Linked DNA regions of Lytechinus pictus. The protein of the gene in region 1 purifies or fractionates together with the protein of each later gene. This does not show direct contact. Links are inferred from orthologs where the notes say so. Each region holds a gene or a part of one and is shown in the gene's direction. Other genes may lie near its edges.

Evidence for each region.
Region 2: the proteins of solute carrier family 22 member 21-like (region 1) and protein YIPF3-like purify together in Homo sapiens (co-immunoprecipitation; 3 studies listed by BioGRID and IntAct, counting the BioPlex papers as one, with this or other methods). This does not show direct contact. The link is inferred for Lytechinus pictus from reciprocal best matches to the Homo sapiens genes SLC22A5 and YIPF3.

What each region holds. Positions count from the first base shown.
Region 1 is NW_026974140.1:5,909,208-5,917,347, forward strand, and holds the start of solute carrier family 22 member 21-like, read left to right. Parts: upstream 1-5,056; 5' UTR 5,057-5,450; coding exon 5,451-5,816; intron 5,817-8,093; coding exon 8,094-8,140. UniProt on the Homo sapiens protein: Sodium-ion dependent, high affinity carnitine transporter. Involved in the active cellular uptake of carnitine. Transports one sodium ion with one molecule of carnitine.
Region 2 is NC_087250.1:17,099,877-17,107,783, reverse strand, and holds the start of protein YIPF3-like, read left to right. Parts: upstream 1-4,398; 5' UTR 4,399-4,430; coding exon 4,431-4,469; intron 4,470-6,831; coding exon 6,832-7,020; intron 7,021-7,907. UniProt on the Homo sapiens protein: Involved in the maintenance of the Golgi structure. May play a role in hematopoiesis.

The sequences.
Region 1 (8,140 bases):
TGAAATGAGAACATAAAAGAATTGAAACAAGTAAAAAGGGCTACATCATAGTTAAAAGAAAGAGGGAAGCTCCGAGACAATAAAAAGGGTAAAAAAATAAGAAAAGACTTTGAAACACTCACAACACGAGCATAATAAAAAAATTGGGAATAAGCGAGGACAAGTAGCTGAGGGACCCCCCCCCTCTCTCTCTCTAGTTATTTATCTATCAAACTCGCATTTACAAGAACTTCTTACTAATCAAAATATTGCGAGCAAAAAGCACGAGCTGGCATTTTTTTTAATATTCAAAACTGATACAGAGACACCTTTTAAACAATTCATGAAACATAATAATCATTCATTAGCTTAATCGAATCATTCGATTGCGAAAGGATCTGAGAATTTAGTGTTTTTAGGAATTCATTAGAAGCATAAAATTGTATCTCAACATTAAAATAAGATGGGCGCAACGCATGAGCTAAAGCTTTATATACCAATACAAAATTTGGACATTTAAAATATTTTCGTAGTTATGAAAAAGATTGATATTTCATGAAAGCTCGAATCCCGAGGAGGAATATTTTTTATTAATTGACTTTTAAAAAGGCTGTTCTAAGCCCCATTTAATATTTGATTATAAGTCGAATAAAACAGGAAAAGCTGAAAAAATAAATTATTTTTTATTCCATCATTATTCTCTTTCTCTTTAACCCTGGTTCCTTTTTTTCTGGGGGGGGGAGGAGTATTTTGGTTTTAAAAAAGAGAGAAAAAAGATAATTGCTGGCTTGTGGACGGTAGTGGTAGGGACACCCCTCCCCCCCGTAGTTACGCGTTACGCCATTATTGGACGAAATGATCCTACATGTCCGAGGCGAAACTTGTGCAATCAATTAAACGTTATTTAAAAAAAAAATTAAAGCTTGCGCTGTTTAACTTCAATCTCTTTCACCCAAATTTACGATGAATGCGAGCGTTATGAAATATATAACTATCAACGTCTGGCGAAAAGAATAACCAACCGATCACCTGACGAGAACGCGTATCACGTGATCTGCATATCAGCTCCGATCGAGAGTCAGAAGTGAAGAGCAACTGCCAAGAAAATCAAGAAAAGGTCGTCAAAATGTAAGTTTCCCTTAATTTCTTTCATTTTTTGTTGTTGCTAACAATGCATTTACACACTAAAATTTAAATTTAAATAAAAGAAACGAATTATAGCTTCTACTTGTGATATAATAGAGAAATGTCCTGTTCTCAAAGATTTCTAACCCAAAATACTACTGATGTCGCCTATGAGGTCCATACATGTAATGTTTGGACCTCATTGGTACTAGGAGTGACTTCTACTGGACTTTGCCTTTGGAGGCTCAGATGCAAGTATTTTAGATTTAGGTTGTGAATTATTTAGGGTGAGATTGTACATGTTTGAAAACCATTAAACGGGGAGGTGCGAAACTACACTAGCGCCGTCCGTCCGTGACCACGATTGATCCACCATAATAGTAATAATAGCTGGATCATTTTGGCAAGAACACACATAAGACAGGAATAACCGTCGTTTCTGGGGATTTATTCAACAATTTCTGACATTTTACTGTAATCCCCATTTACCGACGGTAGGGTGTACGTGTGGGCTCGCATGTGTTCTCATTCCCTCCCTTTTGTCAATTCACAGTCCAAAGTTTGATGTAATTTTACACATCAAATTTACAATCTAAGGATGTATAAACAAACTTTTAAAATTTGATATTTAAATGTTTAAATACTTTAAACGATATAGATGAAAAAGGCATGAAAAATATACTTTACCGATGTTTAATTGGGTTGAACACGATAAAAATGGTCAAAATGGCAGCCAAACTATAAAATATTTACAAACGAACGTCAACAATCACGAATGTGATATCGATATTGCTTTCGATATTATACGATCTGCTCCATATGCGAACGAAACCGAAGATAAACGATACTAGTTATACTAGTACTAGTACTAGTTATAATCGCGATATATCGATTCGAGACATTAAGTTAATAACGATAATGACGTCATTCAAGATGGCAACTTGCAAGAAAAACCGTCAGGTCCGGTGAAAATGTCTTAGATGACAGATTTCTCAATCATCCAGAGGATTTTTTTCAATAACTCCGGCCCAAGGTATGCAATTACTTAAGTTATTTATATTTCCCTGATAATGGAAACCATGAAACTTTCAATTTTGCTTAAAAATCAGTTTTAAATCGCGATCTATAAAACGCTAGTTCACTATACGTTGGCTGTAGGTACGGGGCCCCATCCCCTTCAGTCTATGTATGGTGAGTGGAGCCAACGTAGTTCAGCGGAACAACCAAAATACAGAGACTGAAGCTTTTGGTCTAGAACACACATTGCACAACACAACAGTCAAGGCTAGCCTTCGGCCCCTACACAGAAATGAGCATGTGGGACAAGCCAATATGACTTTTTCTATTTTTTAAGCCCGCGCCCGCGCGTCAATTCATAAAACTAACATTACCTAAAGGATCAAGTAGGCCTACTACTAGACTTTTACCTACTAGTGTTATCGTCTTAATACAGATCTATTGGAATTGAACCTCTGCGAAAAGCCGGCATTCGAAAAAAATTGTCCTCTGTACTGTCTCTGACTGTGATGTGGCTTGCAGCTGTGTTCTGTTTGTGAATTGTGAGGGCGCATTATTATTTACCGTAATTATAGGGGGGGCCGGGGCGGGGGGGGGGGGGGGACCACTGAACTAGAGATACGTATCTCTAGTTCAGTGGGGGGGACACGCAATATCAAATGTCCCTCACTGTTTGTTGAAGGAACAAGAAAAGGAAAAAAAGGGGGGAGATAGAAAAAAAGAAGGGAAAAGAGAGGAGAAAAAGAAAAAAAAAAAAACAAGACGAGTGAATAAAAAAAATAGGTGACTGAGGAGAAGACATCTTTCATGTCACTACACGTATAGAGAAATTTTCGCTCATGCTTCGTGCTCGCATTGCCTTACAGGCTGAAATGGAGCTTAACTTTTTTTGAAGTTTTGAAGTCAATATACAAAACATATTTCAACATATTTTGACATCGAGCTTTCAATATTTTGTTTGATTCTTTAAAAAGTGTTTTCTAAAATGTCCGTTTTATGGTCTGGATATCAGCGAGCTAGCATTATTTTGTCAAGTACTTAATATTCTCTTCGTGTATTCCATAAAGTTCTCCAAATATCCCTTTTCAGGTCTGATTTCAGCACTTGCTGCGCGCTCGCATTTTAATTTGTGAGTTATGTATACCTATTTTAATTCTCACAAACTACTTAATCTCCCTTTAGGACAGTTTCGGCTTGCGATTTGCGATCGCATTATTTTTGTTAAAATATATTACCCAATGCATCCTATTCATAATGACAAAAGTACTTAAAATGTCTAGGTTTCTGGCCTTAATATAAAAAATGCGCTCTTATTAGGCTTATTAGATTAGTAAGTAAAATGATAACATTTTCATGAATTTCTAACAATCAAATTGTCCAGTTTCAGAATGGAATACGGGGGCCTATCGACAAGATATATATAGTTACATATATATATATATATATATATATATATATATTATAATATATATATATAGTGCGTATCAAAAAACCGGGACAGATTTGAAAAGTCTATAAAATTTTTGTTTAAAATTATGAACTCTCTATTTTGGTGCCAATGGGTGCTCTGAAGTCTTATCCTTCAAATGCCATTAAAATGATTCAGTTTCGTTCATGCTTGAACGAACACGGAATGTTTTTGTCTGGGGTTAAAAAGAGACTTGCGCCAAAATGGCATAAAATGATATATACTGATGATCAGACTTCTTGCTAATCAGCAGACTTTCTTCCCATTCATTCTATGGGGAGAGGTAATTTTGTTACGCTGCCTCTAAACTTTGGAATACGATCCCAGCTTCCACAAGCTTTATACTCAAAAGTCGTCTCAAAACTTATTTGTTTAATTAAGCAGTTATAATTTATGCAGTCTACATAACAGCTTCAATCCAATCTTCTTTTTTTGGTCTATTTTCCTAAACGCACAGAGAGTTCTACGGGTAGTGATATGCGCTATGTAAGCATGGTTGTATTATCATTCAGGAAAAAAAATTCTGGGCCCTTTTGCATAAAAGTTATTATTATTCTATAACTTTGTCATCCGATGGTTTCTTCAAAGGAATTCTTGAATTTGATTGGCTGCTGAGCAATAATGCCATGGTAGATAGTATTAAAGGGATGGTCCGGTCTGAAAGTATTTATAGCTTAATACATAGAGTAGAATTCACTGAGCAAACTGCCGAAAATTTCATCAAAATCGGATATCAAATAAAAAAGTTATTGAATTTTAAAATTTAGCAATATTTTGTGAAAACATGCACTCGTCATGAATATTCATTAGGTGGGCTGATGATGTCACATCCCCACTTGATATGAAATTAGGTTTATTCAACTTTTTTCCTCCAAGAACTAGAAAAAATTGGATTGACAACTGATTTAGTGCATTAGATTTTTATTGCTGCAACTTATTTCATTATAAGGGAGACATATTATTCACACAAGTATGAAATAATGAATAAATTATGATTTTATTTAATAACATAAGAAAACGGAAAGTGGAGATGTGACATCATCAGTCCACCTAATAAAAATTCATGATTACTGTTTTCACAAAATATTTCTGAACTTTAAGATTCAATAACTTTATTAATTGTTATCCGATTTTGATGACATTTTTGGCATTTTGCTTAGTGAATTCTACTTTATGTATTAAGATATAAATATTTTCAGCACGGACCATCCCATCTCAATGGGCTCAAGAAATATCATCGTCCAAATTTAGAAATTATGAAAATAGAAGAGATTGTTTTCCGACCCCCTGCAAAAAACTTGACGAACATTTTCCAGGATTTTCTCGATTCAAAATAATTCGCCCTTATGATGGTAGTCAAAGTATAAATAGCTGAATAAAAAAAGTATATGGACGTGTGTAATTTACTTCGTAATTTTCTATAGACTGATAGTTGTAATTAATTCAACATTGTTTTATCGCGCATGTAATTACGAGTATAAGTTCTCATAATATAAAGACAACCGTTTCCTGTTGCAGGACTGCATGGCCGTTCTTCTCTTGGTTTCGGTTGCAAGTGAGTTGCCAAGAGACTGTCAGATTAGTTTCGAGAGGAATTGTATATAAGTCATATCGTTAGCTATATTCTTTTTGTAATCGTGTCGTTGTACTTAGAACACTTGAAGCAAGGGTGTTATTTACTTCATACTTGAATACTGAACAGAAGTTTGGGTAGTACTTATTTATATTTGCACTGTGATCTAGCGATATATGAGGGATACCACGGGGAGATCATTGGTCTTTATATAACCTGAGAAACGACCTGCCACGGTCAGGACGGTCGAATTATTCGGGGGGAAAACTATATGTCGGACTATATGCCATGGATCTGGACGAGGCGCTCAAATCCTTGGGCGATTTCGGGCGATATCAGACCATCATTTACGTGCTCATATGCCTGGTCGGGCAACTCACACAGTCATGGCATATGCTAGCCATCACCTTCTTGGGGGCGGTTCCCGAGCATCGTTGTCGCATTCCTCCAGGGGATGATCCAGCGGGTGAAGATGTCGTCATGGACCCTTGGAATCATTACTATCCGGTCGAGCAGGGCAAGTCAGAAGGCGAAGGTCCAGTAAATTCCAGCTGTTTGAGATTTGTGAACTTCACCGCTGGCAATGCAACGGAGGGGTGCATCGATGGATGGGTTTATGATGAAGATCTCTATGGGAAAACGATTGCAACAGAGGTAAGATCATTCACGGATGATGAAATATTAACTCATTAAACGCATTAAAATTAAGAAGGGGAGAGGGAGGGGGGGGGGGTTAAAGTGTATGAGAGAGAAGGGGGAAGGGGTGTAGTTGGATATAGGAAGTGGCAAAGATATTAATGTAATATTTTGTCTTGGAAGTGCTTATTACCATTTGTATTAAGCATACACACCGTAGGGTAATTTCTATAATTTGCGGGTGATGCTCATATTTTTTGTTTCATACAGATCTATTGATTATTATTAATGGAAGTAAGTGAATAGTAGTTCTAAACAAATGAAACTAAAAATTAAACCTAACGTTAAGAATCAAACTAGAAAAACATAAATGTATAATGTCCTGGTTGGGTAAATAAATCTTTCTATTATGTTTGTCAAAGAGTCCTTAAAATAAAAATGAAATACAGGTCACATTTGATCGTTGTGAATCAATGATTGACCTCTCAGTCATGACCTCCATTTATGCATCTTGATCCGTTGTCATAGAAACAAGGTCACAAGTTTATGACTTTCAATGAAATTAGATCCAACCCACGCATATATATTTTCCCCTCTCTCTCTCTCTCTCCTATAGTGTTCTTTCACCCACGATCAACTCGACTTCTATTCTAACTGTTTTCCAGCCCCTCTCTCTTTCATTATCACTCTCCTCTCCGAGATCCCCCTCTCCATCTCTCCCCCTCTCTCTACCCCCTCTTTCTCTTTATTATATTCTCAATTGTTGTGACTACAATCAAAGGAGTGGGTGCGATGGTCTATCAGAGTGTGCTACCAAAATTATATATCAGTTTGTAAATGGCAAATCGTAATAGCTCTAAATTTCTCTTACATCTGTGGGTCTACTATGATATAGTAAAGATGATGGATTATAAACGTTATCTAACATCTTATATAATTCGGTTGATATTTTGGTCAATGTACGGCAAATCTCAAATTGTAATTTGATTACAGAGCAATTCCACTATAGATCCAATAGACGTCATTCTAATGTACATAAAATCAAAGGTCGATAAAGAGCAGTTACTCTTGAGTGCAAAGTCCCAAAGTGCATTCTTTTTAAATCAGTAGGCCTAATAGTGTGAATAGTAAACAATGTGTTTGCAGGTTTAAATATTCTATGGTATTCTAAAAATAGAAACATAATTGTGAAACAATAAGATTAGCTGTTTTCTGCAAGTTAAAGCCCCTCTCATATTTTCTGACCATTGAATATCGTTAAATGAAAACATTATGTTTTGAACTTTAGATGCAACATAACAGCTTTAAAAGTTCTCTGGATTTTCTTACACGCATTTTTCCGTATTTCCCTATCTCGACCTCTTACACGTTGTAAGGTTTTTTTCGGTTTTGATTCCATACAAACAGGAGCGGGGGTAATAACCAGGCGCGTATACAATATGCCTACATCGCCCCTAAAAATCTTTATAAAAAAAAAAAGCGGGGGGGGGGGAGAGAAATTGAAATATACGATTGAAGCATAATTACAAGAAAATTATATCATTGATATCATTAATATCATGATGAAATATAAATGCCCTTTTCACACTTTTCAAGCTCTTTCCCACGTCTTTGGAACGCTCTTTCATCTTCCTTTCGTTGTATCCCAAATATCACATTGTTCAGATCCAATTTAAAGACTTATCTTAAGAAGAAAGCACATTCAACATTAGCCCCATTTAGAGTGTCCTCAATATTTTTAATTTTTGGTTATATAATTTCTAACTCACTTTTGTTTGTATATTTCATATGTTCTACATTGTAAAGCGCTTTGATATGGATTTCATGAAAAGTGCTTTATAAGACTAGGTTATTATTATTTTTATCATCAATTTCTAGTATGTAAATCTCACTGCGCCTAATTCCTGCACACATACTCCATCATGCACGTCATGTTTAATAAAGAACTTCGTTAATGTTAAATTTGCCTATTCTCATTTGAAGTCCATAGTTGCTTTTTTTTTGAATAGAACAATCCAATATAATTATATGGGATATAAGTAACGTTTATCCGTCCCTCAGTAAAATATGTGTTTAAGTTGAAGAAATTTCATTTTCGTCGTATTGCAACAAGTTATATCCTAAAAGTCGGATCCATTTTCCCGCCTTGTCTAATCACGGTATTTCAATTGAAAGGAGAATCGAAGAAAAGAATGGAATTCTTATTGCAAATTTGATTGAAACAAATATTAGTTGTTCTTGTCGATTAGTCCCACCATCCCTATTATTATTTGTTGATTTTTAATGTTTTTTTAGTGGGATCTGGTTTGCAATGACAAAGACAAGGTGGATCTTTCTACTTC
Region 2 (7,907 bases), on another chromosome or scaffold:
ATTACGAACCTTCGGAATTACGAACCTTCGGAATTACGAAGTGTAACCAAATCACACTAACAAGTGCAACCAAAGCCAATACTATACGAACTATTTTTAAGGGGATGGTGCGCATTATTTTCTCGCATGGCATTTTGTATCCCTTCTTACAAAACAAGTTTCATCAATAATGCTCCTATATTGTACTCAATAAAACAGTATTCAATCACAATTTTAAATTCTTGGGGGAAAACATAATTATAATTTTATATAATACAAATTTAGAGGGAAATTACATGACATTCATTCATTCTTCACATAAAAAGTATATATATATATATATATATATGTATATACATATATATATATATATAATGTAAGGGGGCCCTCAGCACAACGAGTAGTGCAGGTACTCATCATTTAGTGTAAATAAACTTGGAAGACAGAAATAACGACGGGTGAGACGTAGCTCTCGAGTTTCCTTTTGTATTGCAAGCTTTCGGCCATCATCGGCCTTCGTCGATATATATATATATATATATATATATATATATGGGCTATTCCACGGTTACTCACGTTACATTTGGAGACACCTTGACTCATACTTGGAGCTGTAACTCCATTATTATTGATAGGAACTAAACATCTCTTTATCACAACAAAGTACACAGTCTGACTATCCTTTGTATAAAAACAAAACTTGGGAAATTTTATTATGCTCCTGGCAAATCTTTGGAATGTGTCGGTTACTCACATTACATGATTTGGACATGCATAAAATGAAAAGTCGACATAAGTGAAAAGTCTCCTCATACAAGGCTTTTATGAAAGTTGATTATATCCATTTCAAAGAAGTATATTAGGGAGACAAACTTTGTACATAATCAAAAAAATAAAGAACACATGGTTTTTACTTGGGGTGCAGATAATATGGTTACTCACGTTACGGTTACTCACATTACATTTTGTCCATGTATGGTTAACAACACAAATGTCATTAAAAATTCAATAATGTGTGTAAAATTCATTGCTAGGAACATCAAAAAGAGATTTTATACAAAAAAATGGAACAATTGGAGCTTTATTAGGGAGTAAGAGGGAAAAGTATGATTTTGCCTACTAATTATGCATAAATTAGCATAATTGCTTAACACCAATTTGCATGAAATAAATTACTGATAGTATTGTAGATTATGTCCAAGACAACCTGCATGCAAATTTTCGGCGTGATCGGGCGGCCAGAGGCCGAGATCTCAAACCCCCCACACCCCCCCCCTCACACCCCCCCCCCCTTGGGCCATATTAACTCCCAAAATACCCCAGCCTAGATAGGGTTACAGGTAAGGACATTCAATGTGTTGTTCGAACACTCTTTAAAGTTTGGTTAATTGAAACCAAGTCTTACTAATGCACTCTCGCATTGTGAATACTTCTACTAATATTCAATTTTTTGTGTGATTGTATGACCACTGATATTTTGATGAACAAAGAGTCACATCAAAGAGGTGTACCCTCATTTTGCTTTTAATTAATCAAAAATAACTTCACAACTCACCATGAGACTTAAAACTTGACATCCCACAGAAAATGTTACCTAACTGCATAATTTTTACTGGTTACTCACATTACATGATGGTTACTCACGTTACAAAGTTACTCACGTTACAGTTTTTCTTCATCATTTTTATAAAAAATTGTACTTTGTAATGATTTTGTTAGTCATCACTGTGTCAAAGATTGTTTGAAGGAAGAGAATTTAAAATCCCACCAATTAACTGTGAAGAATTTTTCTCTCAGAAAACAAAGTCAGTTTTTTCGGTTACTCACGTTACATCACCTGAGCAAGTTGCAATATTCATTTTTGAATGAGTACTACAAATTTACTTGAAAAGCTGTTGTGTATTTTAGGTAATTTGACTCTTCTAAACTTCAGAAATATATAAAGTGGTATGTTGTTGCAATAACAAAATGGTAATAAGGCATATTTCATTTTTCACTATTTTTCTTGTATTTTGGTACAGAATGGAAGACACAACTTTTGACCATTTTTTTCCAAAGTATGCATATGAAAATAAACTTTTTATTTCTTGTTCCTGAAACTATCAAGCATGAAGGACTTAAAGTATTAAAAAAATCAAGAAAATATTGAATTTGAATTTTTAAGCTCATGTCCATCAACCTGTGGAATTGCCCATATATATATATATATATATATATATATATATATATATATATATATATATATATATATATATATATATATATATATATATATATATATATACAGTGGCGTACATGGCATATTTCGTCAGGGGGGCAAGCGACAAGGATGAGTAAGGTGGGGGGGGGGGGGGAGATAGTAGGCATGGACGTATAAAGGCAAAACAATTTCAAGGGGGGGGGGCTGATAATCATTGCCCAAATACCAACTTCACAGTTTTTAATTTTCGAGCGAGCGAAGAGAGCGAAATTTTTTTTCAATTATTATTTGGCATTTTTACATGATGTGAAACGTGCAGAAATTATAAATTCGGTCATGAAATTACCAATACACGAGGATATTTGGGCACCTCGCAGTCCTCGTTGTCCTGCATTTTGCAGCCCACCCCCCATACACGTTTAGATGTGTAGCTCTGGCAGTGGCACTAAAGGTGGGAAAGGTTACCCAGGGGTGCCCAATAAAACAGTCTCGATCCTGCTACTACTGATATTTGCTATCGGGTGATTGCACTTTATTGTCGAAATTAATTCCTTTTTTGTATATCATTCCAGAAATGAAATGTATTGGATCGTGATCGATATATTTCTAATCAAGTGGTAGTTGCAATGATTATATTATACTTATACTATTATACTATTATATAATACTTCTTTTATTCCTCTTCAAAGGTGTTTACATATAATTATGTTCCCAATTCTGCTCATTTGGAGACGTTATAAAAGAGGTATTTGACATTGAAATCAATTAAAAATAATAATATAAAAAACTAATAATTGCGAGCGCGAAGTGCGAGCTGAATTTTTTCTTAAAAAATGAACCTAAAACGATACATTTTGTGCACTTAATTATGAATAGAATGGGTATCTTCCTTAATCAATTATGCAATCGCGAAGCGCGAGCTAAAAATTTTGATATTCCTAACTGGACACTAGACATTTTAAGCAGTTACAGGATGGGTTTCTAAACAGTCGGGCGGGCGCGAAGCGCGAGCTAAAACTTTTGATACTCCGACTTAAGAACTGGACATTCTAAGGACTTTTAGTAGCCATGAACAAAGTTGTTTCTAACTGAATAATTAATTGATGCGAGCGCGAAGAGCGAGCTGAAAATTTGAGATATTCCCCCCTGAAAAGTGGACATTCTAACAATTAATTGGTGTGAGCGCGAAGCGCGAGCTAAATTTTTTTTTATATTTCGACCCGAAAACTTTACATTCTGAGCACTTCATTTAATTATGGACAGGATGGAATTTTATGCGAGTGCGAATTAAGCTCGAGCTGAAATTTTTGATATTCCGGCCTAAGAACTTGATATTCTAAGCAATTTTTGTAACCGTGAACACATTGGTTTCTAATGATATATTTTTGATATTTTTTATTTTTATATTCCGACCTGAAAACCGGACATTCTAAGCACTTCATTTAACTATGAACAGGATGGATATATTTGAACAGTTATATTTGAGCACGAAGCGCGAGCTGAAATTTTTTATATTCCGGCTCTTAGGCCTACTAATCAATTGACGCCTGAAAACTAGACATTTATCTTAAGTAACCAACTTAGAAATTTATGCGAGCGCTACGCGCGAAATTTGCATTGTTATAATTATGTTACCTAAAAGTTGTTCTCTAACTTTTTCCTGTCCCTGGACTGGTCAGCCCAGTCCGTCCTCACTATCGGTACAGAGAGCTCTAAAGGTCGCATTGCGTAAAAATCACAATTTACCGATAAAAGTGTACAGTAATTTAATTGACATTTACCGACAAAGCTGGTGGAACTAAAAAACCGAATCAGTTGGAGCAGCCCCGTGTGCCCGACAGTTTATAATTTTTTTTCCGACAGTCTGCAGTCCAGTTTTTGTTTTCCCCTTTCTCTTCAACTCTTTCTTCTTTTTCCCCTTTCCCCTTTTTCTCTCTTTCCTTTTTCCTCTTTTCTTTTTTCTTTCCCTTTTTTCGCTTTTTTTTTCCTTGTGACTCGTCAGGGGGGGGGGGGGGGAGGGCAGTCTGCCCCCCTGCCCCCCTTATGTACGCTAGAGTATATATATATATATATGTATGTATACGCCTTCTATTCAGACAGTCCAGGCAGTCTTACGAAGATCTTTTCTATTTAAAAAAAAATTAAAAATGAATTGGAATTGTTATTTTTATAGCGCAATGAATATTGTTCATGACATTTCATCAAAGTCGTATGACGCCCTCTACGTTATTTAACATGAAAAACTGCCACCATGGCGAGTTCCGAGTGGTACGCAAAAAATGACGAAATGGTAAGAAAAATGCTTTATAATTAATTTTTGGGGGTATTTATCCATCATTTCCACAATACTAATGTAATCCACGATTGGTGTGTTTTACATTTCTATCATGTTGGGAATGATTGATGATAAGATGATTGATTGTGTGGTGGAAATGCGCTAGCTAGCAGCCGATTATTGTGACTGTTTAGTGTTGTGGATGCGTGTTGTTGTGCGGAATCCGACAGATCTTCTCCCCGGACCCACCCGCTGCGTGCTGCGCTGAGCTGGGACACATTCGTAGATCTACATTCTAACGTTAGTTCTAACGTTACATCGATTTTATTTAGCGCTTGACTTTAATTGAAGCCGTCTCTGTAAAAACTAAGAGGCTAAGCAAAATTTTAGTCTAATTAAAAAAAATGTATGAAATTATTGTCAACGTCCAGTCAAAAATTTAATAACCGCTGTCCGCTGATATAAACAACTAAGTTAGTATTTAGTTAGGCCCTAATTTCCCTAAATAAGACTAAAATATGAGTATGACTATATAGTCTAGATCCACTGCCACGTAGCATAGAGGCTCCTGGAGAGTAAAAATCAGTCTACTATACGTAGGCTTACTCCCCATGGAGCCTGGAATTGCTTCCCATACGGCTACACATACCGGTACCGTCCCAAAACCTGAAAGTTTGAAACTTTCGCCCCCGAGATTTCTACTTTCCCTCTAAAAGATCTAGCCCTAAATCATGTACATGGGGTACACCTTCATTTCTGACATTTCTACGATATTGATTTTCATTTTTAAACAAGATTTCATAAAAAAATGAGAAAAATGTTAAGATGGGAAGAGCTTACGGCCTTGTTTACGTCGCCATCTTGATTTCTTTGTCTTTCGCTTGGCGAAAGACATAGAAATCAAGATGGCGACGTAATTGTCCTGGTTTATGAGGATTTGTCCTGGTTTATGAGGATATATCCTTGTTTTCTTGGACAATCTCAATTTTTGGAACAGTGCCTCTACTGCCTATTGTCTATTAAAGGCAGGATTCAGACCCTTGCCTTTATGAAAAAGCATTTCTTAAAGGGGAATCCAGCCTTGGCCATAAAATGTTGCGTTGGGAAGGAGAAAAATAAATTAAACAGAATGGTGAAAGTTTGAAAGAAATCGGACAAGCAATAAGAAAGTTATAGCTGCTTTAAAATTGAGATCACTAATACTATGTAGATTTCAAATTGGCCACTGGGTAAGTAAATTATGACAAGGGGCATGCAAGGACAACTTTCCCATAGGCCATGTACTTTATTATCAGGGATTTGTGGTTTTCTCCTAAGTACCCATCCCCCTGGGGCAGTAATCTAAATATAACCCAGGAAGTATATTGTTTTATGTCCTCATGAAAGCAAAATATAATTTTATAATTTGAAATAAAACTTTTGGGAAAAATGACATTTTAGCCATAATATGTATTGGAGTACATGGAAGAGTAGTTCTTGCCTTACATCACTATGACATCCCATATGCGGCCAATTTGAAGTCTCCATGGGTATAGTGATTACCAATATTTACAACTTTTAAAAATTCATAACTTTCTTGTTGTTTGTCCAATATTGTTCAAACTTTCACCTATTAACTTGTCTGATTTTTCTTTTCCTTATAAAAACAAGTTTTTGTTTGGGTTGGATTCCCCTTTAAATTAGCACACGTTTGATACAAATTTTCAAAAAATATTTTAACATTGATTCTAATTGAATTTTAGATCTAGACTTTAATTGCTAAAAATTTATATTTATGCTGGCAAAAAAAAAAAATTGATTAGGCCTTTTTATGATCAGTGTTGTAACTTATCGCTACAGTGGATGGCAGTGGTCGGGCCCAACCGGCACCGAAGATTTCTGACCACCATTCATCCTGAAAAACACTGCTCCCGTCCACCACTAATTCCAAATGGAAAGTGTATAAAATGAACTATTCGAAAAGAGGAAATTGACCTGCATTCATTTCTATCTTTAATCTTGTTTTATTTGTTCATTTACAAAGATTTGCAAATTAATGTCAGATAGTTATTACATTGATGTTCCTTCACTCATGGCTTAAAGACTGCCAACTCAGCCTAAAAAAAAAAATCGTGACCACCACTAAAATGGGTCTCGATAGAACACTGTTTATGTTTCAAGTTTTCAAGTTTTTATTGTTATAATTACACACATTGTCATTGAAATGATCATCGTCATCATCACCTTGACCGTCCTCATCATGTCAAGCATTTTTGCGATGGTTATGAGGGTTGTTAATGAAAATATGTCATTATTTTTAGTGAATAATTTTTTAAGTGAATATATATCAACCAATCACCTTTTGCAGAAAGTCTTTAAAATGTTTTTTCTTCTACAGAACGCATCAGCTGTGATTGATCTCTCTGATGCCAATTACCTTGAGAAGGATAATGAAGCCACGCCCTCGTTGGTACAGCAACCACCCGAACTGACCAATGGTGAAGCTGATCAGCACGGAGATAGCCAATCAGCAAAGCCGTCGGAAGCAACCTTCATGGATGCAATGAAGAGCCAGATGGCAGATTCGGTATAATTGTCTTAATTTCTTGTTCCACCCCATAAAGTAACTCAATCATGTCTTCTATTGACGTTAAACAAACATGCTAAAGATGGAACTAATCTCTGTGAGCTATCAAATTCTATTTATGATGTTTAAAGAAATGATAGAATATAACTTAAATAAGGAATTTACTCACATTCAAATATAACAAATAACAACTGAAACTCTCAGGCTGACATTCTGCTTATTTTTGTATGTTCCTCTGAAAAATTTAAATCAGTTATTGGCTTTGTCACAAAAAAGAGAAGAAATACACCATACAATCATTTCCTACTTCCGATTGTCATGGATTAAAATTTGGAAAGAAATGCCATTCCATACTTGTTCATGCTATGTATACAACATGTAGGAAAAAATAATTATAAATATCTTTGGAACATGTCACACTATAGATTTTGTTCTGTTTCATATTTTTAATGCAGTGAAGTAGACATTTTTTAGAATACAAAATGCCTTCCAGGTGTAAGATGCTATTTGAATCTAAAAAGCAAAATTTAAGACTGGACTCGGTTCTATATGTGCCTCAATTTGTGTTGATACCTAATTTGTGCAAAAACCTGCACAAAGCCTTTCCAAATTCAAATTTTTTAAACTGAGTTGATTTATTATTTAGGTTTACTAGTTCGTGTTTTGTCAATTATGTGAAATTCTTGTACGTTGTTATAATGACAAAATGTGTTCCTCTCTTTCTCTCTTTTCCCCTCCCCCTTATGTCTTGTTCCCTCCTTGCCTCCCCTTTCTCTCCTCTCCCCATCCATACCCATTCTCTTCATCTCTGTCATTAAATCTCTCCCACCTTCTGTCTTGATCCCTCGTTCTTTTCATCCTCTCTCTTTCTCACCTCCCTCTTCTCT